Diceros bicornis minor: one gene and its partners. The protein of the gene in region 2 interacts with the protein of the main gene of each other region in a pairwise test. Links are inferred from orthologs where the notes say so. Each region holds a gene or a part of one and is shown on either strand. Other genes may lie near its edges.

Region 1 (7,410 bases), about 8.3 Mb from region 2:
CTTGTACCAGAGGAGACAAAACCAAAGAGAAAAGCAAACGATTCAGCTTTCCATTTAACTGTCAATATACTATATGATCAAGTATACACTTTCAGGACCTTTCTCTCTCTCTTATCACCCTCAAAAGGGTGGGGAGCAGGAGGTGGCTGGAGGGGCAACATAAACATCCTCTGAGCTTGGTAAACACTATTGGTCTCAGGCCAGAAAAATAAAACCCTCTCTTAAATAAATTACTAGGAAAGATGCCTCTCCAAACAGCTTCTACTCTGAGTGAAAGTAGACTCGGCAGAAGCGAGAGGAGGACAAGTGCAACCTGAGCTCCCGTGGCACCTAAGAGAACGGGCAGAGAGGCAAAACTACACTCCAGTGTGCAGTACAAGCACCCACCCCCTTAGAGGGCATGCATGATTTAGCACTGGGGTGGACAGATGGACAGAGGGCAATGCCTTTCAAAACCCTCATCCCCACTCTGTGGCCTCCCCTGGAGCCAGCATCTTTTTCTGGCCTGCATCAACTCAACACGTGGCCCCATGAACAGAGTAGAATTAGATGGACCTTTGGGAATCAGCCAAGGATCTTTTATTTATTTTTTTAAACCAGTATTAAAATAAGATCGTATTCTTTCTACATATTTCACCTGAAAACTTTTGGGCCAGGAGTATATGGCAAAGGGATGATGCCAGCTGGAAGGAGGCAACGACCTATATGAACCGATGTCCCTAAGCTATCAAAGTGATTCAGACAGAGTTGCTGTTGCTGACAGGATGTGTGAGGGGACGAGCAGTGGGAGCAGATGTGCAGTGTTGATGTATCTGTGGAGTGGGAAGAAGCGAAGGGAGTTGCGCAGGCCCTGTGTAACAAGTTCCTGTTCTGGAGGAAAGGTTCCGACAGTGTGTCCGAGTAGAAATAGCTACTTGGGAGTAAATAAGGTGAGGTACATGAGGAGGGGCAGAGAGCAGGGCAGACCTGGCAGATCTGAAGGACAGGGCAAGGGGCAGGGGGTGCTGAGGGCCGATGGGGGAGCTCCAAGGTCAGGACCAAGTCTTACTCGCCTCTCCAATCCCACTTCCCCCTGCACCACCCTACACACCAGCCTCCTGGGAGAAGTTCCCAGGAAGAGCTGAAATGAAATGACCGGGGCAAATGAAAGAGCTGCTAAAGAGGAGAAAGCTGGAGTGGGCAAGTGAGGAGAGATGGGTTTCTGAGGGGAGACTATGCACTGAAAGGGGAAGCCTGACACTTGTGAGCGGGGCCCGACTCTACCTGGTGCCAAGGTCTGAAATGCTGAAGGGCAAGGTAAGTGGAAGAAACGGTTCCTGCTTGCAGGTGTGTGTGCAAGGCTGGCCTTTCTTTTCCAGCCTCATCTCCAGGCCTAGAGTCCACGTGCGGGATGAAGTAAGAGTGAGCCTAGAGGTGGGGACGGGGGATGCTAAGTGTGTACCTGGGGTCCCAGCGAGATAACTTGAGGTCTGAAAAAAAGAAGCCAGAAATCCATGACAGTTCTTGTGCTTCCAATTCCCGTTGGTGGGCAGAAGTGAGAGGGGTGTGGTGGTCTTGGTCACTAGTTCTCAGGGACAGAGGAAGGGGGCCGTGGGGGGTGGGGGGAGTACTTAGCTCTAAGTGCTCAGGATGTGTAAACCGTGTTTGAGGAGGGATCCTACAGCTCTGTGTCGACAGGAAAAATGAAGACTCTGGATACATATCTGAGAAACTGAAAAAGGATTACGGAATTTGAGAACTGAAGCAATCAGAGAAGAGAGGAAGGTTAAAATTTCACTGTAAGATGCAAGGGGTGAGGTGCTCCGCTCCCCAGAGCTGGTCCAGGTTCTGAGAGTAAGAAGAGAGCGACAGTGAGGGGCAGCTCGGAGTCCCGAGCGTGTGTCGGGGGGAGCTGGCTGGGAGCATCTTTTCTCTGACGGAGCAGAAGGCAAATGAAGGGGCAGGCCCAGTTCCCCCAGGAATCTCACGTGTAGGCCGCTGTGCAGGGCGCGAGTCACAGGGAAGGGGCAGGGGAGACGGAACAATGCTACAGCAAAGAACCGGCGAGATGGGCTGGGCCCAGCATCCTGGGGCTCTGCGGGGAGGACAACAGGACCCCAGCTGCGAGAGGCAGAGCCCGAGGACGGGAGCGCAGAAGGGGCTCGTCTTGCAGGGACAGGCTGGGGGAGGAACGCGTACCCGGCGCTCACACCCAGGGTGTGCGTGTGCGGAAGGCGGGGATGGCAGCGCTGAGCGGTCTGCGGGGCGCGCCCCTTCAGTCCAGGGTGCCGAGTGCGAGCTCTCCGGGCCGTGCTGAGTGCAGGAAGGGGCCTGACCGGGGCTGCGCAGATCAAAGCTCACCCTACCTCTGTGCCTGGACCCGGACACCCGGTGGAGGCTCGAGGGCAGCAGGAGGGCAGGACTGAGTCCCCCCAACCCCTGTGCGGGAAGGGGCTGGGCGGGCGTTCAGGCAGCCGAGGAGCGCGCAGGGGAGCTGCACGCTGCCTCGGGGCCCGGCCCACCCGACCCTGGCCGGGGAGGCCGCCAGCCGTGCCGGGGCGAGCTTCCGTCCTCGGGTTTTCATACCACGCTGCGCCCGAGGAGCGCCCCCGACCCGCAGACAGACGCGCGGTGTCCGGACCCCGGGCCCGGACTCGGGAGGGGGCCGGGCGCTCCGCACCGGGCTGCGGGCCTGCGGGCTCCTGGTCTGCGCAGAAGACGCCGCGCCCCTCCCCGGCCCGGCCGCCCCGCGGCGTACCTGGTCGCCGGCGCCCAGGCCGCAGTAGCCGTGCGTCACCACCTCCCAGTGCAGGAAGCAGACGAGCGCGTCCTGCGCGCAGGTGATGGCCGGCGCCACCGACGCGAACAGCACCTCCAAGCCCGCCATGCGCGCCCCCGGCCTCTGCGGGCGGAGGAAAGAGGGAGAGAGAGCGGTGAGCCGACGTGCCCTCAAAGCACTGAAGACGCCGCTCCGCTACCCGGCTGGTCCTGGCCGCGCCTCCACCAGCGGCCAAAATGGAGACGCCCAGGGCTGGGGGCGCGGCCGCCGGAAGTAGCTCCAAGCTCCCGCACAGCGCGCGAGCGCGCCCGGCTGGAAGCCCCGCGCGGCGCTTAAAGGTTCCGCCAGGCAGCGCGCGGGGGTTCCGAGCTGGACTCCGGTTTTGTCCGGTAGCTGGCAGGACCGCTACGCGCAGGGGTTCCGCCTTCGAGCAGAGCCCGCCTTGTTCTGAGCCAGAGATTCCCAGGTGCAGAATGGGGTGGGCGTGTGCTGGTGGGGGAAGAGGTTATGAAATATGGCTAAAACATATTCATAATAACAGTTGGGACTTAGGCAGTGCCTGCTACGTGTCACATTATTCTAAATGCTTTATTTGTAGTCATTTATTTACTTCTCAGGACCCAACCCTATGAAGTTGGTGTTAATGATAGCCGCATTTTACAGATGGGTAAACAGAGGCACAGAGGGGTAGATTTGACCTAGATGACACAGTCAGCCAGTGAGTGGCAGCGGTGGTACTGGAACCTAGCGGTCTGGCTCCTAGGACAACGTTTATTAAATGTTTGTTGTGTGTTAGATCCTGTGCCAAAACCTTTACATCACCCTATCAACAACTCTACGAGGTGTGTTCCGTTGACATCTCCATTTTGGGGATAACAAAACCAGCTCAGGGTTGAAGCCACTTGCCACGAGAAGACACAGCTGCCGACCGCACAGCGAGAGCTCCTGATCCACTACCAAATGTCAATCATTTATTGGCCTGTCTCCTGCACGATTTTTGCTGCCTATTGCTTCTTCAACAAGTGTTTTGAAATCCACGTATCATTTTTACTCAAATAAATTTAGTTTTCCCATCCCAGTCAAAACCTCTCTGCAAGCCACCATTATCTCTCGCTTGGATGTCTGCGCCAACCTCTGGACTGCCCTACTCCATCTCTGTCTCCCTGAAGTCTGTTCTACACTCTGCAACTAGAGATTCTGTTAGAACACCTGCCAGATCACATCCCTCCTCTGCTCAAAACCTCCCGGCGCTGCCATCACACTCAAAGGAAAGGTGAAGTCCTCCCCATGGTCTGCAGGAACCTGCATATGGTCTGCACCGCTCCTCCCCACCCCCACCTCTCTCCATCTCCTCCAACTCTCCCCTCATCCTCTGCACCGTTGGCTGCTATAACCTTGCCTCCTCTCTGCGCTCACACACACATCTAATCCAACAGCAAAGCTAGTCAACCTTACCCTCCAAATATATTCTGAATCTGACCACTTCCTACCTCTTCTGCTGCCTCCACCCTGGTCTGATCCTCTAGCATCTCATACTTGGACTATTGCAGTAGTTCCCTAACCAGTCTCCCTCTTCCACATGTTCTGTTCTCCAGGCCTTCACATGTACTGCTGTCTCTGCCTGGAATGCTCTTTCCCCAATTGTCTGCGTGGTTTGCTCCTTCATTTTGTGACTCCTTCCCTCACCTCTTACCAGCCTCAGCAAAGGGCTTCCCTGACACCCCATCCACAATAACCTCCTCCACTCTTTAACCCCGTACCCTGCTTTCTTTCCTGCAAAGCATTAATCATAACCTGATACTAATTAGGTATTTATTTGGTTGTTTATGACTATCTTCCTGCTAGACTGTGACAAGGGAGCAGGGACCCTGTCTGTGTTGTGCACAAGTATTCCTGAGTACCTTCCTGGCTCAATATATACTTATTTGATAAGTATTTAATATTGAATGAATGAATGAATGAATGAATGCTGAATGAGTGAATTATTGGCCTGGGCTCAACGCAATTGGGCTAGTCTCACTCCTTTGCAGTCCACCACTCACTTTGTTAGCTGGCCCTGTACCTCTCCAAATTTTGTGTTTCTGGGGTTCCCCTGGAGTGCCCAGATTCTTGGACCCATCTCTAGAGATTCTAGCTGAGCAAGTCTGAGGTGGAATGCAGGTATGTTGACCACACTCTGGGTGATGCTAGAGCTGGTGGCCACGGAACTCCTGAGATATCCTGTCTGTGGCATAGAGCTATTTGCCCTTTCCACAGTGAAGCTCTGCACTTGCAGGAATCCCATCTTTTGCTTGCTCTGTCCCTTCTGCTTGCAGTCCTTCCCCAGTTATTGAAAATTCTAACCTATTCATTCATCATTCATGCAGTCATTCACTAAACCTCCACAGGCTGGGTTGCCATGGATAGTGATGCAGGCTGTGCACTGCACAAAGCTGGCCGCCCAGTGGCAGCCCCATTCCCAAGTGTCTACTGTAAGACAAGCCCAGATGAACAAGCCGTAGTTCCTGCCCCTATGGAGCTCACTGTCTAGTGGTAAAAATATTACAAACAAAGGTAATCCAGTGTAAAAACTGCCATGACAGAGGGGCTCTAGGAGGTCTGTGCAAGTCCAGAGGAGGCATCTAATTCACGCTGGGGGTCAGGGAGGGCTTCTTGGAGAAAGAGATTCCCGACCGCACTGAACCTTAATGGAAGGTTGGGAGTGAACTGAAGAATAAAAGGTGTTCCAGAGAAAGGGAACAGCATATGCAAAGGCCCGGAGGTGTGAAATGCGCTAGTACTGTGTGATTAGAGGGTCAGTGCTGCCTCCTGAGTGAGGCTTTCCCCCATTTACTCTGCCCACAATCAGCTACTCTCTCCTCAGTGCCGTTGGCACTAGCGGGGTGCCAAGGGGCGGGCACGGGACAGCAAGGGCTATCAGCCTCAGTGGGGAGGAGAATTTTGTCATCGAAGATGATTAGAATGGCTGGTTCATGGAGATAATAGAAAGCAGACTCGCGGTTGGTCAGCTTTATCACTGCTTTTCAGTTTTTACAGCAATGCACCCCTCATTGCCTGCACCCAGGCTGACGGCTCCCCCACCCCCAGCCCTTGCTTCAGCCACTGCTTCGCATACAATTGGTCATAGCTCGAATCTCACAGAACCTTGGCTCCCTGTTATAGCATTATTCACCATACTGTTATACATCATCCCTGTGGTAGCTTGGGTTCCCTCAGGAGTCAGCGTGAGACAAGGATTTGAGTGGTTTATTTGGGAGCTGATTCCAGGACATAGCAGGAAGGGAGTGGGAAGTGAGACTGGGAGGGAGAGGCAGCCAATGGGTGGCGTGTGATCAAGCCAGTTACCTCTGGGCACCCGGAGCTCCATCTTGTCTGGCAGCTCTGGGAGACACGTGTGTCAGAGTTGCCCCAGTTGAGGGTGAGGGCATTGCTATTTTTTCACTCACTCTCTGGATGAGGGCTGCTTCTGTGGGCATGAAAAGCCCTCAGGCAGAGAACTGCAGAGTTTAGAGAAAGTAGTCCTTGGTGCTTGGAGGTGACTGCTATGGAGTGAGCGAGGCACCGTGGTGTCTGCTGTGGCCCCCACTAATGGTGAGCCACGCCTTTACATGCTGTGGCCAAGAACCAGCGTGGAGTAGGCCCCAGCATCTATGTATTGAAAGAACAAGGTGAGCTCTGTCTCTTGCACAAGGCTCTGAGTCCCCTGAGAGCGGGACTGTTCCGTCCACCCTGGACCCCAGGGTCATCCATGGATGGGAACAAATGGGAGGATCCCCTGGGGCTGGAGGTTGTCCATGTCCTGCCCCTGGTCCATCCAGCACTTTCTGTGGACTTACCTCCGTCAACAGGAGTCTCAGTTGTCCCTGTGAGGCCTGTGAGTGGCTGAGAAGGCAAGCAGGTGGAAGATGCCTCCCTAGCTGGGCCCCCACCGCCTGGGCAGCTCAGAGCCCATGCCAGAGATGAGGGCCCAGGATGGTGGAAAGGATGTGGTAGGTGGTGGCAGCCACCAGTTCCTGGTTGCCGAGTGACAGCAATGTGGGTATTCCAAGCTCTCTGGAGACTGTCTCCCTAGAAACTGTAAAGAGGTGAGCTGAGGGGCAGGGCCCAGATGGACACTGAGGTGGAATAATTCACCACTGGAGTCCTTCTCTCCTTTAGCCTAGCATCACCCCAACCACTTCACTTCCTCCAGGAAGTCCTCCATGATTACTACTGTTCAATGCTAACTGGAACCCAAGACTTCCCATTCCCCTTGTTAGTGGAGTGCCCAGCATATCTGACACATGGAGGAGAGGACTCTTTTTTAAAAAAAAATATATTGTAATTTTAATATCACTCAGTTTTTTGAAAGATTTTTTTATTGTGGCAAAATATGCACAACATAAAATTTAACCATCTTAAAGTGTACAGTTCAGTGGTATTAAGTAAATTCACATTGTTGTGCAATCACCACCACCACCCATCTTCAAAACACTTCATCTTGCAAAACTGAAACTCTGTACCCGTTAAACAATAACTCCCCATTCCCCCCTCCTCCCGATCCCTGGCAGCTACCCTTCTACTTTCTGTCTCTTCGCAATTTGACTACTCTAGGTAGCTCCTTTCAGCGGAATCATACAGTATTTGTCATTTTGTGACTAGCTTATTTCACA
Region 2 (7,660 bases):
ATGATGATTTGGCCCTATGTTTTCTTCCAAGAGTTTTATATTTTTAGTTTCTATGTTTAGATATTTGGCCCATTTTAAGTTAATTTCTGTATATGGTATAAGATAAGGGTCTAACTTCTGTCTTTTTAAGTGGATATCCAGTTTTCCCAACACCATTTATTGAAAAGACTGTTCTTTCCCCATTAAATGGTCTTGGCACCATGTCAAAAATCATTTGATCATATATGTGAGAGTTTATTTCTGGGCTCCATTGGTCTTTTTTTTTTTTTTTTTTTTTTTTTTATTTATTTATTTTCCCCCCAAAGCCCCAGTAGATAGCTGTATGCCATAGTTGCACATCCTTCTAGTTGCTGTATGTGGAACGCGGCCTCAGCATGGCCAGAGAAGCGGTGCATCAGTGCACGCCCCGGGCCGCCAGCAGCAGAGTGTGCACACTTAACCGCTAAGCCACGGGACCGGCCTTCCATTGGTCTTTATGTTTGTTTTTATGCCATTTCCACACTGTTTTGATTACTGCAGCTTAATAGTAAGTTTTGAAATCAGGAAGTGGGAGTCCTCCAGCTTTGTTCTTCTTTTTCAAGATTGTTTTGGCTATTCTGGTCCTTTGAGATTCCATATGAATTTTAGGATAGATTTTTCTATTCCTGAAAAAAACGTTACTGAGATTTTTCTAGGGATTGCATTGAATCTGTAGAGTGCTTTTAGTAGTACTGGCATCTTAACAATATTAAGTCTTCTAATCCATGAAGGTGGGATGTTTGTCCATTTATATAGGTCTGCTTTAATTTCTTTCAACAATGTTTCATAGTTTTCAGTGTACAAGTCTTTCACCTCCTTGGTTAAATTAATTCTTAAGTATTTTATTATATTTCATACTATTGAAAATGAAATTGCTTTCCTAATTTTTAGATTTTTCATTGTTAGTGTATAGAAATGCAATTGATTTTTGTGTGTTGATTTTGTACCTGCAACTTTGCTGAATTCATTTATTAGTTCTAACAATTTTTGTGTGTGTGTGGAATCTTTAGGGTTTTCTACATATAGAGATCACATTTTCTGCAAACAGAGATAATTTTACTTCTGCCTTTGCAGTTGGGTGCCTTTTATTTATTTATTTTTCTTGTCTAATTGCTCTCCCTAGAACTTCCAATACTATGAAGAATAGAAGTGGCAAAAGTGGGCATCCTTGCCTTGTTCCTGATCTTACAGGAGAAGTTATTTTCCCCTTCAAAATTACAAATTGCAGGGCTGGCCCAGTGGCGCAGTGGTTAAGTGCACATGCTCCGGTTCGGGGGCCTGGGGTTCGCAGGTTCGGATCCTGGGTGAGCACCGACGCACCACTTATCAAGCCATGCTGTGGCAGTGTCCCATGTAAAGTAGAGGAAGATGAGCACAGATGTTATCTCAGGGCAATCTTCCTCAGCAAAAAAGAGGAGAATTGGCATCAGATGTTAGTACAGGGCTGATCTTCCTCACAAAACGAAACAAAATTACAAATCGCAAATAGATTTTGACAGCAGATAAAATCATGTCTTAAATGTCAGAGAAGGAAAATATACGGGCTCAAGAGGTCATAATTAACCACTTCACATACAAAAATGTGTATAGCCAGATACCTAAGTAGATAATGTACTCCTGTTGGTTCGCAAACTTGGGAGCTTCCTGAGTGGAATCTGAAACTGTCCCCCCATACATGGAGGGCAAGGAGAGACCAAAGAAAGAGGCAGAGCACTCCAGATTGGTAGGTGGCAGGTTTAATAAGCAAGGAAACTTACATACCAGGGGCAAGATGAGTAGATCTCCATACCTGCCTGCCAGAATCTTAAAAGTTTATATAGAGGCCTTGACTGGGTTCAGTCACATATACCGTCCAGATGGTCTCAACAACACATTGCTCTCTCAAGGTTGTGTCCTTGAAACTGACTCCTACTGTGGGAATGGTGGGCAGAATTCCAAGGACAGGGGAGGGGATGAGGAGCCTCTAATTGCTTGGGTTCAGCTCAAGGGTCAACCGGCAGTCATGTCCTGTCAACGACCTTCTCCAACAACTCCCAATTGCTGATTTCAGGTTATTTTCCAACTTTTAAATCTCTGAGCCATGGAGAAAGTCTACTACTTATTTAAACACAAAGGTTTTGAATGCCTCTGACAAATCAGTACAGTCAGTCCTACATTATGAATTAAAAAGTGTTGTATTCAATAAATGTATTAGTGTAGTGGAAAGTAATGTATTACCAAGACCCCCTAAGTGAAGGGCCTGTTACCCCAGCTACAGGGAGTCCTCCTGGCAGAAGGCCTTGACCTGTTCTCTCCTCAGGCACTGCCTCAGCTTCAGAGAGCTGCCTAGTCTCAAGCCCCTTCCAAGGCAGCTCACACTCAATGATTAATGTTAGGATAGAAAGGACTCGACAACTCGGGACAAGTCTGAAGGGTCATCCCAGCTCCAGAGCTCTCTGGAGGGCTGGCGAAGACTGTCGCTGGCCTGTGTCATAGCTTCACTTCTACCTCTGCCCACTCCTGCTTCCTGTATCTCACACCCACAGGGGTTGGTCCTTAATCAACATCCTGCCTGCTAAATGCTCAAGAAATGACATTATATAAAAAGAAAACCCCTAGGACTTAATGCAGCACAGTATTTACAGAAATAGTATTATTATTCATTTATAATATTTACCTTCCATAACTCCTAAATGAATTTGAGGCAACTAACAATAGTCATAGTAATTAACCAGTAGAAACAACCACACAAACACAAGCTTTACATATAACAGCAAAGATATTTTAAGTGATTAAAGTTCAGTGTTTCAAAAGAAAATTTTAATTGATAATAATCAGTCACAAATAAACAACACCTCTATAGAAATATTTTCTGGCTTTTGCATCTGTGTAAGCACACATATAAGGAAGTAAAAAACAGAAATATTTATGCAAATAATGTTAGGAGTGGTAGTGGGGCTAGTGGATGGGTAGTCAGGGCTATGTGAGCGGCTTAGAGAATAAAGAGATGGATTTAGAGACTCCTATTCCTTTAAACAGACAAACAGGGTATGATATACCAGGACATATTTCTCCTTTGTATATAACAGTATTGAGGGAGAAAAGTAATCATCCACTTATCCTATGGTTCCTGTTTTCATATGGCAGCTACTATATTGAGGGTACTGAATGAATGGAAAACAAGCAAGAGGGGAATGACAAATATTGTACCATTAACTAGAAAACTGTTTAGAGTTATTAAGTATAACGGGGTACCAATCAATACAAAGCCTTATTTTCAATCTGTTATCTAGTTATGGGATCAGATACCGTATTACTAGCTCCTGAAGCTATTGTGGGGGCAGCTAAGGACAGATAAGGGTGGGACGACTTCATTTCCAAGGTTGACAGCTCATGACTGGTTTTGTGAATGTCTCTCTACTATAGGGTGGACGGTGAATATTCTGGACAATGCTAGAGCCTTCCAGGATTGGGAAGGGAGTGGACAACTGACGGATTTAAAGATGAACTACAAGATATCATTGCAAGCTTCAGCCCAAACATCACTCATCAGAAAGCTCTGTCATTTCTTAGTGCATACATACCCTACTCTTAACCACCATCTGTCAGCCTTCTTAATTGGGCAAGCCCAGCCTTACCACTACTTGCACAGTAAATCGACACTTTGATGAGTTTTTGTCCCAGCCCAGGAAAGGCATGGGGACTGCGAGGGAGACTGGTTGAGACTTCAGTAGAGGCTCAACTAGCAACTAGTTTGCTAGCCAACTAGCAAAGCGAGCATGGAGAGGTCCAGGAATCCATCTACCCCTAAGCCTCAAATTCTAAGTCAGCAAGTAGCCCATTAATCTGGATGCTCAGAGCCCAGCCCTACTGAGATTCCTTCCAAGGCGGGCACAGCAACCCCGGGGACACTATCAACTGTTAGCTGCCACACCATCTGTAGGCAGGAGGACCCTCTGTGGATGCCAGAGTCCATTTCTGGGCTGGCTGATTGAAAGACGGCCGCTCAGAGGTCACAGAGGGGGGTCTGTAGCTCCTTCCTACTCAGTGTGGCCGGAGGACCAGCAGCATCAGCATCACCTGGGAGCTTGTTTGGCTTGTAGAACCTCAGCGCCCAGGCCACACGAATTGAATCCGAATCTGCATTTTAATTGGTGGGCACATTAAAGTTTGAGAAGCACGGGTCCAGGTGGTAGCAATGAGGCTTGCGGACGAATCTGCTTCTCAGCTCCGCCCCCTCCCTCTCTTTGCTCTCCTCCAAAGCAAAGCTCAGGCTTGCGATGGTCCTGCACAAAATTTCTGCAAACCCGGAGTATGTGGGGAGGGGGCGCGCAGGAGCTGCTCCCCGCCGGTAGGGCGGAGGGAAGGTGTGATTGGATTGGCAAAAGGCTGCCTTCTTCAGCTCAGGGCTCCGCGGAGCGTAGACACTCCCCCGACCCTCCCCGCCCCCCCCCCTCGCCACCCTCACCCCCCGCAGCTGCTACTGCCTGCCTCCCGCCGGCTGCCACAAAAACCCGGAACAGCTGCGTGCGCTCATGGAAAGTCCTCCTAGGGGCGAAGCCGGGCAGCTGGGCATGCTCAGTAGCTGGGGGAGGCTTGGGTGGAGAGTAGAAAGCTTTGGCTCTGCCTCCCACCCCCTCCCTTTGGCCCCCGCCCCCCTTGCCCCTACCCAGCCCGTAGTAGTTGCCCGGCGTGCGCCCAGGGAGACCGGGAACATGGCGCTCCGAGCGATGTAGCCGCGGAGGAGAGGAAGGGGATGAGGCAGCGCCGCTTCGCTGACAGCCAGCCACCAGGTAGGCAGGCGCGCCTGGCGGGGCTGCCTGGGTAGATATCCGCGCGCGGAGGGGCGCTTGCGGGGATGCGCACGGCTGGGACCCGGGGCATCTTGCTTTGCCGGGAGAGGATGCGAAGCGGACATCTGTGACAGCGCGCAATTGTGCATCTCCTAGGAGATGCCAAAGGCTGGGGACCGGCTGGCTGGAGGGAAGGGATCCGGGGACCGCCCCCCGCCCCCAACCACCGCCACACGCACAGCCATGCGCTGCCATTCAGCCTGGGTTCTCTACGGGTCAAATAAAGGATAGTTCCTTTCTGCTGGGCGGGAGGGCTTGAAGGAGAACCCCGGATAGCAGCCCTGCGAGCGCGCTGGTCCCCTGGACCGCTACAAGCTCAGCACCAGTTCTTTGTGTATACAGCCGCGCACGGCCGGGGGGTGCCACGGTGCCTGCTTCTGCCCAGGAGTGTTGGACATATTGCCAGGGCAGGATTCTCGTATGGTTTTTGTGTCTTGGCAGGTGTGGACTGGAAGATGCAATAGCTGAGCCTTTATGGGGCTATGTTTTCCTTTGTTACTTGCTTGGGTGTGCGTGTGCGTGGTGGGTTGTAATGGAGAGAGAGAACTTCTGCTCGTGGGCATGGGTGTGGGCAGAGCGTGGAAGAGGATCTCGATTCCAAACTCTTGTCAAAATTGCGTGATGTCGGCCTCCTGGAGGGTAAACTTGAAAAGTCCAGGGATCATCGGTGCCCAGTTTGACGGAGAAGTGTGTTCGCCCTTCTTGAACCCCGTGTGTGTATCTGGAGCTTTAATCATGGGACCCCAGTTAATTCAACATGAGATATGGATTAAGAGAATTTGAAGCATTGGGGCTATCTGTGGTGGTCTTTTTTCGGCCAGAGTAATGAAGAAAAAGAGAAGTTGGCACAAAGCCAGAGGAAAGTGTCATCATTAATAGTTGATGACAGCTTGGAAGGCAGAATACACTTTGGGGGGAAATGGGGAAACGTGGCATGCCACAGGGTTCTACCAAGAAATAGCCATAGGGTCTTAGGTGACTCACAGACCCTCTCAGCGCATCCTTTTCTCTTCTGAGGTTTGGTGGCATGTAGACTCTCTCTTACCTGAGTCCAGATGGACAAGAGGCTCTTTAGAAGTCCTGCTACACTAGACTTCTATGAAACTGACACCGCCTTATAAGGGCTCTGCCACCTTGTATTTGTCTATCTGTTATATTCAGCAGTCCAACTCACTGAGTTAGGGAGGGAAGATAAATTTAGAATATACTTTTACTTTCTGCTTTATAATTTAAAGCATGGACATCTGTGACTATGAAGTTTAGAGACACTTCCCTTTGTACTTACACTATTTATTTTTATGGTCTCCTTAGGTGGCAAGAATGAGTCAGTATCATCAAAATGAAATGGGGTATGCTTGAGGAAAATGCATTTAAGTAAATTAAAGCCATAAATGTCCAATCTGATGATAATACCTTGACTTGGAATACATATGTGCAAAGCAGAAGCGGTGCTAACGGAAGCAATAGAAGTTGATGGCAAGTTCATTGATAGCATTGGTCTTAGAATAAAATTTTTGTGTTCCTGCGTGCATGGGTAGAGACTGATTGTACGAAGTCCCTGCAATTTGTTATTTTGTTAATAAGTGTGCGTTTTAATTGCAGGCGTTGAAAACATTGTTCAGCAGTACTTCTCCTTCACCCTGTCAGAGGCTGCTAAAACGCTGCAGGTGTGAGAGCAGGTGTTCTAGGGTGTGTCTCGGTGTCGAGACAGAGCTGAGTTTGAACTGACTCTTCCATTTGTAGCTTTGTGATCTTGGGCCAGCTATTTGACTTTCCCAAGGCTCTGTTTCCTCATCTGTAAAACAAGCCTAGGAATAGTAAGACCTACCTAGATGGGTAGGTGTGGGGATTACTCATAATACTAACCACCAGGAGAGTGGTGGTGGCCATCATGAGAAGAAGGGAAACGGATGTTTATTGAACGCATATTGTGTGCCCTGTATTACACTAGCTGGTTCAAAAACATCATCTTATTTAATCTTCCCAACTGTATTAATTTCCTAGGGCTGCCATAACAAATTACCAAAAACTAGGTGGCTTAAAACAACAGAAATTTATTCTCTCACGGTCCTGGAGGCTAGAAGTCCATAATCAAGGTGTTGGCAGGGCCACGCTTCCTCCGAAGCCTCTAGGAGAGGATCTTTCTTGCCTCTTCCAGCTTCTCTTAGCCTCAGGTGTACCTTGACTAGTGACAGCATCATTCCAATCTCTGCCTCCATCTTCACATGGCAACGTTCCCTCCTCTTATAAGGACACCATTCATATGATTTAGGGCCCATGCTAATTCAGTATGATCTCGTCTTAACTTGATTACATCTGCAAAGGCCCTAATTCCAAATAAGGTCACATTTGCAGGGCTTGAATTTGGGGGGTACATTCTTCAGCCCAGTTAGCTAACATCCTTATGATCTGTGTTTAATGACAACATTAATATGATGTCAGCATATGAGCAGAAGGTAGAGATAGAGTAGTATGGGTTTAGAGAAGACTTTAAAGGCTATTTAATCCAGCTAACCTATTTGAGGTTTTATATACCCAACCATGGTAGGGAGGAGCAGCATTCAGAGGTTCCTCACTTATATAAATGTCACTTATCTGAAAACCTAGATAATCTAGGACCTCAGTCTCATACAGGTGTCCCAAACATACCCTGTCCCAAATGGAGTTGTTAATGTTGCCTTCATCCCTTTTTGCTAACCCACCAACACAGTGCAAACAAACAGGAAACCAAATTAGACAACAAAAATGACAACAGCAACAAAAATACCCCAGTCTTAACACCTTTCTACTCTCTCTTATCCTGGTAAATG
Region 3 (7,725 bases), on a different chromosome or scaffold from region 2:
CTTTGGACATCTCCACCCGGAAGTCCCTCAGGCATGTCTAGCTCAAAGGCTTCCCCCACAAACCTGGTCTTTTTCCTATATTCCCTGATCTTAGGACAGAAACAGAATCTCCATTCAATCTTTTGCTTAAACCAGAAATTTGAACATTATTCCTAACTCCTCCTTCTTCCTGATCCCCTAATGAATCAAATCTAATCAAACGCCACAATCCATCAGCTCTACCTCCTAAGGTCCCTTGAATCCATCTCCTTCTTTCCATTCCCATTCTAACTCCCTCAGTTCAATCTTGTCACTTTTTCCTGGGAAAAGGAATGGCCTCTTAACTGGTCTTCCTGACTCCACTTTTGGCCCCTTCTTTCCAATCTTCAGGCTGATGCCAAATGGTCGCTCTAAATTACAAGTCCAATTGTGGCATTCTCTTTAAATTCCATGGTTGGTTCCCCAAAGCCTGTTGAATAAAGTCCAAACTTCCAAGAATGTTATACATGGCCCTTCAGGATGAGCAAGTGTTTCTCTCCCCACCATCGCTAGACACCCTCCCTCCATGCGTTAGCCGGGGTAATCTATACTTCATTTGTAGAAATCCACTTATTCTCTCTTTCCTCTGTGCCTCTGCACATGCACATACTGCTGCTTTCATCTGGAATGCCCTTTGCACTAGCCTCTTTACCTAGCTAAATCTTTCAAAACTCAGATCAGGAGTCAAAGAGTTAAAAGGCTAAAGAAACGAGGAAAGTGGCGACCTGAAGTAAGCAAAGTCTTCACCAGTTTAAGGCCAACCTAGAGAACAAAAGTTCTGATCTATGAGGTCCCTTATTCTAGTACAATGCAAAGAGAGAGAAAAGCTAGATTAGAAAGCGCAATACTTCATTTCCCAACTCTCAGCTCTGTCAAAACCTTCTGTGTAGTTGCGTGCCTGTGTGTGCTTTTGGGGGTGGAAGGTTAGCCGCCTAGGCACAAACCTGAATAAGGAAGGGAATTGTTATCCCTCCCCATTCCCACCTTCTCCTATCACAGCAACAGACCCCAGAGACACCTTAGCGTGGGCTTCAGACTAGAGAAGAGATGCACCTGGAGGACAATGACCCAGCTGATCCTTCCAACTCCTGACCTTCACAGAGAACAATAGCCAACCCACCCTGTGGCACAAACACCGTAACATTTTTAATCTGGGATTATAAAACACAATGTTCTGGCACCTGGAAAGTCCTTAACAAATATTTCTTGAGTATTTGGACAAACGGAAAGTAAATAGGTACCATGAGCAAAATGTTGATGATTATTGAAGCTGGGTAGTGAGTTTGAAATGTTCCAAAATAAAAACTTTTTTTAAAAATGCAGTAAAATCCAAATTCAAGTTATGTGTAAAGTATATTCAGTAAACAGTAAATAGTAGTTACTAAACAGGAGATATACAAGATATCCTTCATTTCTGAAGATAATAATAATAACATCAGGGTTGTTAGAGGACTAAATAAGATCATGTGTGTTTAAGTTCAGCACGTGGCCTGGCACATGGGAACTATAAAACAAATGGAAACTTTTTATTATTGGCAGATCTTGGCTTTGAGCCCTGCATTCAACAGTCTGTGGCCATTAGACTAAACGCTAGAGATCAGGGGTCTCACCCCAGTGTCTCCCAGTACCTTTATATAGCAGTGATTACTTCACAAATCAAAAGTTTAGTTTTTCACAGAATATAGTAAAACCTCAATTAACTGGAAGGGGTCACGTTATCTGCGGTAGCTAGAATCTCTGAATGGCAAGATAAACCTGACATTACTAGTCTGTTTTCTATATATCCTTCTCCCTGTATCCCCACCACCACCCAGATTGTACACAATTTCTCTGGTGTCCCAGAGTCTAATAAAGACTCAAAGAAGCCACTGCCAAGCAAGTTCTCTTCAAATGAACAAGACAGAGCAGGTGCACTAGAGAACAGTTGGGGAGGTGGTGGGGGCTGAAATAAATAGTTCCGGAAAGGATCGAGAAGTAGAGAAGAAGGGATTCTGCTGAGATCCTTTTGATCCTCACTTCCTTCAGCCATCACAGCTGGACAAACCTGCATCCAAAAGTTCTGGACATTTGTCAGGGCGCTTGAACAGAGGGTGAGGTGCAAAGCTTCCTCCAATCTCCAGGATAGAAACAGAACCAATTAGGAATTTCCCTATGAGTCAGGGCAGCATTTGACATGCCATCACTATTATACCTGCTTGTTATAATTTTTGTTGCTCAAAGGCACTTCTGCAGTCTACAATGCAGAGAATATGATTAAATCTTCCCGCTACAGCCTGGGATTTTTGCCCAGCCTTAAGGCCATTATTCTGAGCTGTGGTTCTTGCTACACTTAACTAGTGATGGAGAAGAAAGTATGAAGATGGCAGCTGAAGATATCATTGAGCCTAGAAAATACTGTAGAAGTCAGTCATTTGAAAAATTCCTGGTAGAAACTCATTACTAAATTTACAAGTCTTTAAAAATAAAACCATAGTTAATGAACGGCTCATTTTCTTTCTTTTACAAGAGTATATAATTGAGTCTTACATTTGCACATTTTGCTAATTAGGTCTTTTAAATTATTTAAATGATAGTCTGTAGTCTAATATTATGGAATAAAAATGATAGTGGGGATGAGGGGAAGGAGAAAAGGTAAAAACTGTCCATTTCACTTGATTCATATCTAATCAATGTTTCTTCAGTGCTCTTGAAACATGTAGGAATTTCAGATTTTAATAAAAAGTAATAGCAAGATCCTAATGTGAGGGAAACATTTTTATTACATAAACAATGATATATTACCTAAAGCCTTATGTGAAAAATTCAAGTATAAATGAGGTATAGAAATTAATACATGCAATTTAGATACTTTTAGTGTTAAATAACCAATTCTAATACTCTGATTCTAAGCTGAGAATAGAAGGCTAAATCTGACAACAGAGAAAACACAATCAAATATATGTTTAAGCAAGACATTTCAAAAGAAATGTCAGTAATTTAATAATAAAGGCTACCATTTATCAAGTATTTACTGTGTTCTGGGCACAGTGTCTACCTCTTTATCTACTTTCCATTATTTAATTCTCTCAATAACTGTACGAATAAGGTATTTTACTTCGTATTTTTGAGAAAAGAAAATGGAAACAATATGATTTAATAACTTGCTAAAAGTCACATAGCTAGTTAGTAGTTTGTGATTTGAAAATGAGTCAGTTTCATTCCAAAGTCTATGTGTTTAAATTGTCCACAAGACTACATGTTCCACAAGGACAGGGAGGGTATAGTTTGTTCTCCACTGGCACATATGTGTTCAACAGATACTGATGAACAAGTACATGTGTATCTATTCCTAATTTTGTGACTAAAAGTCAAAAGGAGAAACATGAACATTTGTAAACTGACACATGATTGTAATATGTAATTTTTAAATGTTTTAAATTGCCTATTTATATTCATTAGGTAAGTTTGTTTTCAAGGAGGACCAAGGCCCCTTCCCCATTTGAAAGGCCACACTTTGACAAACTGACCTGATTATGTGGCTCTTATTTTGAGATATTAACTTTTTCTCCCTACAACTCTGTCCCCATTTCAGGGCTTGGTTCTGTGGCACTGCCACAGGGAAGCACAGGGCAGCGCAAACAACAGAGATGCCAGCAAATCTTTCAGATTTTCATTATTTCAAAGCTCAGATAGCCACTAACCAGGAAGAAGTCATGAGAACAGAGACATCCCAGTACAACCCATGAGAACTGACAGGACTCCTATCAGTTGACTCCTTGCTCACCAGTCCTCAGGCCGTTTTAGTGTAAGCCCTTCTCATTTGTGACAATCTGGGAGAGAGGGAGGGAGGGCTTCAAGCTAATCATGTTCCCGCTAACCTGGCATAGGCTCACAATCAGAGATTAAGTTCATTTACAGTAAATAAAAAGAATAATATTGCTTCACACACGGATCTGTGGACTGAGATTCACAGACATTACAATTTTGCCCACATACTCTTCACAAGTCAACCACACACCTACCAACTTTTCTATTTCAATTTTCTCAAAATCCAAATTCAGAAAATTGGTAGAAAACCAAGAATTTATGTAGCCCAACTCCACTCTTTGATAAATTATACAAAAAGTAAACAAGGCAAGAAGCAATTGATATCCAAAGCTCACAGGGAGAAACCTCTGGATTCTAATAAACCACACCACAGAAAATCGACCACTTCTCCATCTGTAACAAAAAATCAAGGTTTTACTTTTTTTTTTTAACTAGCCACTGTATTTTTAGAAAGAGACGGCAGAACCACTCTACTAAACCTCACGGAACAAAAACTCCCAGTACATTCTGGAACGATATTCTGGCCAATCCGGCAGCCAGCAGAGACCTTACCCGGGACAGGGTTGGCGCGTGCAGCATTTAGTTCGCCCTCCTCTTCATTGAAGACACTTTGGGAAATTCTCCAATCAGAGAAGCTTAGAGGTAGGGGGCGTGGCCTCAAGGGGCGGAGAATTTGACTCCAGGAAAATGGGAAGTGTGTGCTGATTGGCCGGACTTCTTCCCTCTACAAACCAGCCCTCTTTGGGCCGAGGGAGCCATCCATCAAAAGAACTACACCAATCAGCGGCCAAAATGCCCTCCTCCCCTTCTCGCGGGAGAGCCCCGCCCTCCGATATATTACTCTGGCGGTCAGGCGCGGCCCCTTCGGCTCCGAGCTGACCCTGAGGAGGGCAGTGTCGTCTCGGCGGCGCTGCGGAGACCTCCACCCAGGACGGCTCCCCCCCTCCCCGGGCCTCTCCCCTCTTGCCCGCGAGTCCCCTCGCCTCGTAGGCCTCTCGGATCTGATATCGTGGGGTGAGGTGAGAGCAGGCCCGGGGAGGGTGTTTACCGCTGAGGAGCCACAGCCGCGATCACGGTGAGCTGGGACTGCGGGGTTGACCTCTGGGTGCGGGTAGGGAGCGGGGTTGGGAGCGCGGGGTGAGGGGTAGGTCTGGCCCGCGCCCTTTTCCTCCGGCTGCTGTAAGCAACAAGTCCAGGCTAGTCCGAGCCTGGAGGGCGGGGCCAGATCCGACCTCCAGAGATGTCTTAGAGTCAGGCCAGCCCCGTTCCAGGGACCAGGCCAGGGGCGAAAGAGTTGGACCCGTTAAGTTAGTGGCTCCTCATCTGCCCATCCCTTCCGTCGCCCAACCCTAAAGATCCCCTGCCTTCCTGTCTTCCAGTTGGTGTGGGAAGGGACTGTCGTGTATCTAGGGCTTAGCTTGTGCCCGGAACATAGTAGATGTGTAATACCCAGTCTCAAATTAATGAAACTCCCTGGTTCATTTTGCAGGCTACATTAGCCTCCCGCCTTCGCTGCATGCTCCCACAGCACCCTTTAAGCTTTCTTTCCTAACACCAGTAAAAGTTAACAATTATCGAGGGCTGTGTGCCAAGCATTGTGCTAAACTCGACATGAATTATCTTGTTTAATCTACATAGCCATTCAAAGAGAGAGATATAGATAGCTCATTTTACAGACGTAGAAATAAGTTCATTATTATTGTCAAGTGTTTATTAGGCACTTACTATATGTGCGAAGCTCTACACCTAGGGGATCTCATTTATTCCACACAAGTCTATGAGGTAGGTGATAACCTCATTCCCACCTTACAGATGAGGAACTAAGGATTAAGAAAAATTAACTAACTTGAACACATTGTCAATACATGGCAGAATACATACTACCATCTAATTGCAAAGTTTTGGTATCCTGTCTTACAGCATCTAGTCATAGTTATCGCTTGACAGTGAATGACTTGAATAAGTATTTCTTGAAGATTTGCAATTTTTTTTAAAAAGTCATGGCTCCTGCCCTCTAGAAACTCACAATTTAGGATGTGACCAATGGGTGTTGGGGGGAGAATAACAGATGGCACTCTGCAATGACTTAGATTCACTAGCAGCATTGGCAGAGGGGAGACTTTGTGTTATAAAGCACTTGGCAGAATACAACACAAGAAGGGCTATTCTCACTCTCCTTTCTGGGCTTTGTTCTATATATAGATGATAGAGGTACTGACAACTGACTCTCAGAAACTGCTACACCAGCTGAATGTCCTGTTGGAACAGGAATCCAGATGTCAGCCAAAGGTCTGCGGCTTGAGACTAATTGAATCTGCACATGATAATGGCCTCCGAATGACTGCAAGGCTGAGGGACTTCGAAGTAAAAGACCTTCTTAGTTTAACTCAGTTCTTTGGCTTCGACACAGAGACATTTTCTCTAGCTGTGAATTTACTGGACAGATTCCTGTCCAAAATGAAGGTATGTTTAAAGCTACATTACTCCGAGTATTTTTTAGTTTAGCTCAATGTGTTTTGGAGATGGAATTGCTAGCTTTGGGCTGGTATTCATAAATTTAACCTTTTTTATTTTCAGCAGGTAGCCAAAACCTTATATTAATTCTGTGTACTACAGCATTGATGAATACTCTTCCTTACAATCAAGAGTAATGCATCATTTATTAGACTTGACACTGAAAAATAGTCTAATATCAGAGTCTCTCAGTAAGAGAGTTGGCTGTTGTTTTTAAAAATCTTTCTTGATAGGTTGGGTATTTTCATTTATTTACTGTTGTTTTTAAAGTTAAAGAAATGTGTTAGAGCCAGAATGCTAGATTATGGTTAAGTATTAGAGAATATATATACAAATATTTGCTGTCAACCACCTACCTACAGTATATATTTCTTAATCTCTACTCATATATAAAGTTCTAATTGTTTTAGCCTTAGACCTACTCAAGTCTTGCTTATGCTTGGCACTTCCAGCCTCAGTCTGAATACAGTAGAAAAGAGAGAATCTTCTGAAGGAGGAGCATTTATACAGTTATTTCCCTACCTTGGATAAGCAGGACATCAGTGTAACTTGCAGAGCCTAACTGTTAAAAATACATCTGCTTTGGGGCTGGCCCTGTGGCATAGTGGTTAAGTTCGCACACTCCACTTCGGTGGCCCAGGATTCACAGATTCGGATCCTGGGCATGGACCTACAACTCATCAAGCCATGCTGTGGTGGCGTCCCACACACAAAATAGAGGAAGATGGCCACAGATGGTAGCTGAGGGCCAATCTTCCTCACCAAAAAAAAAAAAAACAAAAATACATCATTGTCATTGCCTCAATATAGCTCATATAGACCCCAAGAAACTATACTTTAGAGAAACGCTTGATGTGTATAAAAGTCTGTACATCAACTAATAAATCATTTTTTTAAAAAAAATACATCAGCTTTCTCTGTGTGCCCATGGTTGTTGGTGGATAATAAGATAATGTGACAATGAAAATGAAACTCATCTTTTAGTTCTCAGTACCTAACAGAATGCATCATATAATCCTTTGTAAAAGGAACTCAATATTTAATTGGATGATTCAAGAAACTTGTTCAACAGACTAATTAAACAAGTCTTTAGACACCATGTGCAGGCACTACCTTTTTTGTGTGTGCGTGAGGAAGACCAGCCCTGAGCTAACATCCGATGCCAATCCTCCTCTTTTTTTTGCTGAGGGAGATTGGCCCTGGGCTAACATCCATGCCCATCTTCCTCGACTTTATATGGGACACCGCCACAGCATGGCTTGACAAGTGGTGCATCAGTGCGTGCCCGGGATCCAAACCTGCGAACCCTGGGCTGCTGAAGCGGAGCACACGTACTTAACCGCTGCGCCACCGGCCTGGCCCCAGCACCTTTGACTCTATAAATGT
Region 4 (6,228 bases), on a different chromosome or scaffold from region 2:
AAAATAGTTTCAGATGTTTCCTGTCTTGAGCTGCTCCTGCTCCCGGCTTGGGCTCCTTATGGACCATCAGCACCCTCTAGTCCATGCCAAGTCACTTCTGCCTGCCACTGCTCACCTACTCAGTCTTCCTCAACCTCCCTCCCCCCTATGCCACCAGGGTGACAGAACTGGTGCAGCAGGTGACAGGCCGAGTGCCTAAGCCTAGGCAGCAGGTGCTGGTACTGGAGCTCAGCTGTGAGGGTGAGGAGGAGGACATGACCTTCCCACCCCTGCACTACGAGCTGTGACAAGCAGCAGCCCAATCACCCAGCTCTTTCAAGCCCTGCATCCTGAGTCCACAATAAGCACTCAATAAATGCTGGCTGAAAGAAGGCGTAAGTGGAGAGGATGGATGATGGAACATGGGGCAGGCACATGGGTGTGACATGAGCATGACAGGGACCCCTGCAGGGAGGGAAAAGGCTCTTTAGATTCGCCTGCCTGGGCTGTGCCTTACAGGGCTGGGGCCGCCTCCTGGAGCCTCAGGGCTATGGAACCAGGACAGTCCAAAGAAAGGTCTTTATTGTCCCAGGCTGGAGGGCAGGGTCAGAGGTAGCTGATGACATCACTGCAGATGATGGGCTGGCGACTGCGGCAGCTCATGAGGGCTGCAAAGCGTGAGACATCTGCTGGCAGTTCGGGTTCTGAGCGAGGTGGGCATGACAGTCGCTTTCCCGCCATGGCTGCCCGGCGTGCCCTGGCCAGCTGGCGCCGCAGCTGCTCAGAGAGGCCAAGCAGAAACTGGGGGGGCCGAGCACGGGCACGGGGCCCACCCGCATCGTCTTCCTCACCCACTGCCTCAGGCAGCTCCATCCAGTTGTGCACCAAGTCAGCAAAGCAGTTGTCCCCCAGCACAAGGGGCTGGCGGCTGCGACCTCTGCTCAGCAACGCTGCTGTCCAGTCCTCAGCTTCCAGCCCCCGCCAATGCTCCAGGCAGGTGTCTGGGGTGGACTTGGGCCGTGGTCGGTGAGCAGGTGGTGCACTGGCCACAGGGGCCCCTCTGGGCAGGGGCATGCCACTGGCCGAGAGGCTCTGTCTATGGGGGGGCCATGCTGGGGGTGCTGGGTGCTGGAGTATGGGCAGCTCTTCCTCTCTCCATGTGCTGCCTGACACCTCCGAGAAGCCAGAGTCCCAGTCTAGGGCATGCTCCCTGGGGCCCCCCAAGGCTACACTCCTGCCTCGTGTCACCACAGCTTCTTCTTCCTCTTCTTCCACACAACAGACCGAGTTCTCTTCCAAGCCATCTGAGGCCTTGAGCTGCACACCTGGGCCACATTTGGGGGGTGGCAGAAGAGGGCCAGGCATTGGTGGTGAGCCTGTGTCCCGGCCACACAGCTGCAGAGAAAGAGAGGGCAGAAGTGGGAGGGGCAGTGCTTGTCACCTCTGCCTGCCTGGCAAGCCCAATCCCCAAACAGAAGGCCCAGGAGGGCTGGATAGGCCTGCAGGCCTGGGCAGCAAGGCCTCTAGTGTGCACAGGGCTGGCACGGGGGTGCTGGCACACGAAGCTCGTGTGGCTCCCATAAGCCGACCTGGTGGCAGTCTGGCAGGCTGCAGCATGCAGAGCCGGGCAAGTCGGTACCGGCCACCAGGGTGGAAGGCAGGGTTGCCGGCATGCATGGGGAAGTAGGTCCTACTCAGGGCTGGGGGGGCATCCCGTGCCTCTTGAGGGATTCGGCTCCCCAAAGCCCACAGAGTCTTTCAGAGAAGGACGGAGCACTTGCCAGGTGAGGGGTAAAGAAAGGAGGTACAGGACAGCCTGAGGTAGGGGGCAGCGCCAGCACTTCTTTAGTTCCTCGCAGCCCCCTGCTCCGGGCCAAAAGAAGTTTCTCCCCCGCAACTCCCTCCGCCGCCCCGGCAGCACGGCCAGCTGGGCGGCTGTTACTTGATGCCCAGCGCAGCTCCCAAGCGTCCGAAACCCGACGCGGGCCATCTGGGCCATTTGCACCGCCCCGCCCTCATCCTGCCTTGGATAGGCACTCGGGACGGCCCCCCACCCGTGTGTCGTTCCGGCCGGACGGCAGCCGAGCACCGTACACACGTCCTCACGAGCCACAACCGCTCCCCAGCCTCACCAGTTCCCAGCGGAGCTGGCTCAGGAAGCTGTCAAGCCGAGCGCTGTGCATGCCTGTGCCGGAGCCCCCGCCAGGCCTGCCGGTTCTTGGAACTCCAGCGGGAGCGGCGCGGAGAGGGCCTGGCTAGCCGGCCAGCGGCGCCCTGCCCTCCGCCTTGCTCCGCCGCTCCGTGAGCTCCGTAGCTTCCGCCGCCGCCGCCGCCCCAACATCTGGCAGCCGCGCCGCGCCCCTGGCGCCGCGGCCAATAGGGCCGGGGCGGGGCTAAGGTGGCCCCGCCCCTCGGGACCCGCAGGGTGGGAGAGCCCAACGCCGGCTCCTCACTCGGCTCCAGCTCTGGGGGGAGGGGCGGGACTGTAGCGGGAAGCCCGGCGGGGTCCGGCCCCGGACTCCCCGACGCCCCGGGCGGTTGAACTGACTCTGGGTTCGCAGCATGACTCAGGACAAGTCGCTTCCCTGCGGTAGCCTCAGCTTCCGTATTTTTCCCAGGATAGAAATGCAGCCCCTCCCGCAGGGGCCCCGCGAGCGCGCGGGTACCCTGGCTGCGCCCAAGCGCGGGCAGAGCGCCCCCAGTCTTCGGACCCGGTAGTGCTGTGGCCCACTCGGCGCCGACACACTGAATCCGCTCCTGGAGCCGGCCTCGACAATCCCTGGAAGTGACGCGAGGGATCCAGCCCTTCTGAGGACTCCAGCCGCGAGGCACCTCGCTGCTGCACAGGAGAGAGGCCTCAGCCAAGGCCCAGCCCACGCCCTCTCCACCCCGAGTCTGGGCCGAACTAGGCGGGGCCGCCCTCTAGTGGGGAGCGCGCGGTTAGCCGCGATTGCCGCGGCGGCATCCGCATCCCCTCTGCCAGGCACCACAGGCCCACTGAGTGCAGGGTGTTAGAGCGGCGTTCTCTGGCCGGAATGGTCAGAGCCTGTTCCCTGAGGCCGCTCCACGATCGGAGGCTAGGTTCAAGGATACAGTCTAACTGGAGACAGACTAGACAAGTCAGTAGACAGAAAAATACCGGGGAACGAGGGTGATGGGCTAGTTTGGGAGAAGGGACTCTCAGAGGATGTGGCATTCTGCATGGGATCTGGATGACCCATCATGGGGAGATCAAGAAGAGGGGCATTCTAGGCAGAGGCATCAACCAGTTAAAGGCCCTGAAAGGACAGGAACTGGACAGGGCTTAACCTAAAGAAGGCCCAGGTGTTTACGATGATAATAATTGGGAGAGTGGTGGCCCCCTGGCTTAGCGGTTAGGTGCCCATGCTCCGTTACTGGGGGCCCGGGTTTGGATCCCTGGGGGCGCACGCTGACGCACCGCTTGTATGGCCATGCTGAGGCAGCATCTCACATACAGCAACTAGAAGGATGTGCAACTATGACATACAACTATCTACTGGCACCTTGGGGAGAAAAAGGGGAAAAAAGGAGGAGGATTGGCAATAGTTGTTAGCTCAGGGCCGGTCTTCCACAGCAAAAAGAGGAGGATTGGCATGGATGTTAGCTCAGGGCTGATCTTCCTCACAAAAAAAATAATAATAATAATAATTGGGGGAGTGAAGAGGTCAGCAAAACCAGGCTCCTAGCAGCCTTAGAAAGGAATATGGGGTTTTGTTCTTGGTGTGAGGGGGAGCACTGGGGGCTTTTGAGCAGGGAATTACCTAGGCTGCCTCCTGTTGAGATAATCCCAGCTGCTTTAGGAGAACTACTCTGTAATCAGAGTGGAGGCTCCTGCCCTCATCCAGCAAGGGAGGGGAGGGCCTGGGCCTGGGTGGGGCTGGTGAACAGAAGGGGGTCACTTTGGGGTATGTTTTGGAGCTAAAAATCAAGCCTTGCTGATGCATGAATATGGGTAGGGAAAGGGAAGCATCAAGCACAGCTCCTAGATTCCTGGCCTGAACAACTGGTCTGATGGAATTGCCATGAATTGGTCCATGAAAGACTGGAAAAGAGTGGATTTGGGGAGGAAAATCAAGTGATCATTTGTGGACATGTGACCCTTGTATTGCCTGTTAGACATCCAAGAGGAGATGCGGGGTCAGCCACTGGATGTGTGACTCTGGAGTTTGGGAGAGAGATCAGCACTGAAGCCTTGGATCTTGGAGGCAAAGCGAGTGGATGTTATTTAAGACCATGCTCCTGGATGTGACGGGGGAGGTGAGTTTAGACAGAGGAAGGCAGCAGTCAGGACTGAGCCCTGGAACATTGCACCGGCTAGAGGTAGGGAAGTTGTAGCAGAACCAGCAAAGGAGCTGAGCAGGAGCAGCCAGGGAGGTGGGAGGAAACGGAGAGAGTGTGGGCACTTAGGAGCCAAGGGGAACAAGCATCAAACACCACTGAGGAGGTGAGAGTGGAGAATGCACTGCTGAATTGGGCAGTATGCTGGTCTCTGAGGACTCTGACAAGGGCAGTTTCATGGAGAGAGGAATAAGCTTGACTGCAGTGGGTGGAAGAGAAAGTGAGAGGTAAAGAACTGGAGAGAGTAAGTGTAGACAACTTTTTAAAAATTGACATATAACATAAATACAATGATTGTCAACTCTCAAAGCTACAGCTCAATAAGTGTTAAAATCTGTAGACACTTGTGCAGCTGTCACCCAGATCAAGATACTGTATAGAATATCTCCAGCTGCTCCAGGAGGCCACTTTGTGCCCCCTCCAGTTGATATCCCCAAAGATAACCACTATTTTGATTTCTGTCACCAAGGATTCCTTTTGCTTGTTGAATGTAGACAATTTTTGAGAGATTTTGTTGATGGTTGGACACATATTTTATAAGTAGATAATATTCTAATGGGGGAGTGGGAAACTAGAGTTTGGACTTTATGAGGTAGCAGGTCCTGGGCCCAATTTTCCTGGTGCTGTGCTTGCTCTGTCTCCAAGGACTGCATGACCAAGACTTCTCTGAGCCTCAGTTTCCCCATCTGAAGCTTGATTCTTCTCTCTTCACATCTCCTTAAGGTTATAGTAATGAATGGGGGAATTCATTGGGAGCAGTGAAAAAATGGGGTTTTCCAGGCCTCTTGATGCCTGTCTGAAGCCTAGAGCTGTCACTAGGGATGGGCGGAGCTAAAATCTGGTAGGCCCAGGAGTCCCACCTGCCCAGCTGTGTTTGAGCAATTGACCTGGCAACTGGGTGGGCCTGACAAACATGTCTGGCCTTCCAGAGTCTCCTCTGCTGTTTGTATCTTCAGGCCACTATGGTGCTGCTGAGGGCCCTGGCGCTTCTTGCTCTGGTTGTCTCTGGTGAGGAGCTGGTAGGTGGGGGAAACTCCAGTTCTCACCTCCCTCCCCCCACTCCACAGTGGGGTAGAGACCTGACCCTTCTCAGATAAGCTATCATGGAGGGCGGGGTCTGGAAGAGAGCCAGGAAAGGGCAAAGATCTGAACCCTGACCCGCATTCCTTATCTTGGCTGCTTCCTCAACCAAATCCTCACTCCCAGTCTGTGAAATGAGCTGACCCATGGTTGGACGTGGGGGACAAGGAAGTGCTTTGGCTGCTTGGCCCCAAGATGGGCAGAAGGGCAGGACTATGCTCATGTGTGTGGTTCTATGAGCATGGGGGGCCTCCAGCCTGAATCATCTCTTCCTTACGGACTTCCGCTGCCTGCCCTGGTTCATAAAAGTCTCTGAGAGCCAGGGACCTGGTACCATCCTTCTGTCTTCCCCCTTCAACTGCTCTTCTCACATGCCCACCCTGGAGTTGCTCCATGTGCAGCCATCCACCACCTTCTTCAACCCACCCAGCTTGACCAGGTGGCAGGAGATCTATGCGGGTGAGGTAGGGTCATGGGCACAGCTGCGGACCATGGGGAAACAAGGGCAGAACTTAAATTAACAAAGCCAGAGGTGGTGTAGGGGGATGGAGAGCCTAGGCCCCACATGGCACTGCCCACCTGCCACAGGTGACCTTGAGCACCTTGGCCCGGCTGGATGCCCTGGTGGTGAACCACTATGAGCTCCAGCTGCAGTTCACATGTGGCAACCATGTGATGGAGAGACTGCTCTCTGTGGATGTGCAGCGGGACCCTGGCCATATCCAGTGTGCTGGCCGATTTGCCAGCCCAGGTAAGGCCAGGGGTAGCAGGCAGGGGGTGGCCAGGTATGGCCTGAACAGAGCCTCCCTG

What was found.
Region 1: the proteins of PAK5 (region 2) and PSMF1 interact in binary tests that used the Homo sapiens proteins (3 or more experiments, as listed by UniProt). The two-hybrid records come from large-scale screens. The link is inferred for Diceros bicornis minor from reciprocal best matches to the Homo sapiens genes PAK5 and PSMF1.
Region 3: the proteins of PAK5 (region 2) and CCNG1 interact in binary tests that used the Homo sapiens proteins (3 or more experiments, as listed by UniProt). The two-hybrid records come from large-scale screens. The link is inferred for Diceros bicornis minor from reciprocal best matches to the Homo sapiens genes PAK5 and CCNG1.
Region 4: the proteins of PAK5 (region 2) and INKA1 interact in binary tests that used the Homo sapiens proteins (3 or more experiments, as listed by UniProt). The two-hybrid records come from large-scale screens. The link is inferred for Diceros bicornis minor from reciprocal best matches to the Homo sapiens genes PAK5 and INKA1.

What each region holds. Positions count from the first base shown.
Region 1 is NC_080758.1:29,187,316-29,194,725, reverse strand, and holds the start of PSMF1 (proteasome inhibitor PI31 subunit), read right to left. Parts: upstream 3,001-7,410; 5' UTR 2,867-3,000; coding exon 2,738-2,866; intron 1-2,737. UniProt on the Homo sapiens protein: Plays an important role in control of proteasome function. Inhibits the hydrolysis of protein and peptide substrates by the 20S proteasome. Also inhibits the activation of the proteasome by the proteasome regulatory proteins PA700 and PA28.
Region 2 is NC_080758.1:37,440,831-37,448,490, reverse strand, and holds the start of PAK5 (serine/threonine-protein kinase PAK 5), read left to right. Parts: upstream 1-4,647; 5' UTR 4,648-4,790; intron 4,791-7,660.
Region 3 is NC_080740.1:78,342,719-78,350,443, forward strand, and holds the start of CCNG1 (cyclin-G1), read left to right. Parts: upstream 1-4,704; 5' UTR 4,705-4,900; intron 4,901-6,027; coding exon 6,028-6,288; intron 6,289-7,725. UniProt on the Homo sapiens protein: May play a role in growth regulation. Is associated with G2/M phase arrest in response to DNA damage. May be an intermediate by which p53 mediates its role as an inhibitor of cellular proliferation.
Region 4 is NC_080741.1:50,922,926-50,929,153, reverse strand, and holds INKA1 (PAK4-inhibitor INKA1), read right to left. Parts: upstream 2,302-6,228; 5' UTR 2,163-2,301; coding exon 2,112-2,162; intron 1,375-2,111; coding exon 586-1,374; 3' UTR 514-585; downstream 1-513. Other genes in the region: UBA7 (ubiquitin-like modifier-activating enzyme 7), read left to right, coding at 158-287. UniProt on the Homo sapiens protein: Inhibitor of the serine/threonine-protein kinase PAK4. Acts by binding PAK4 in a substrate-like manner, inhibiting the protein kinase activity.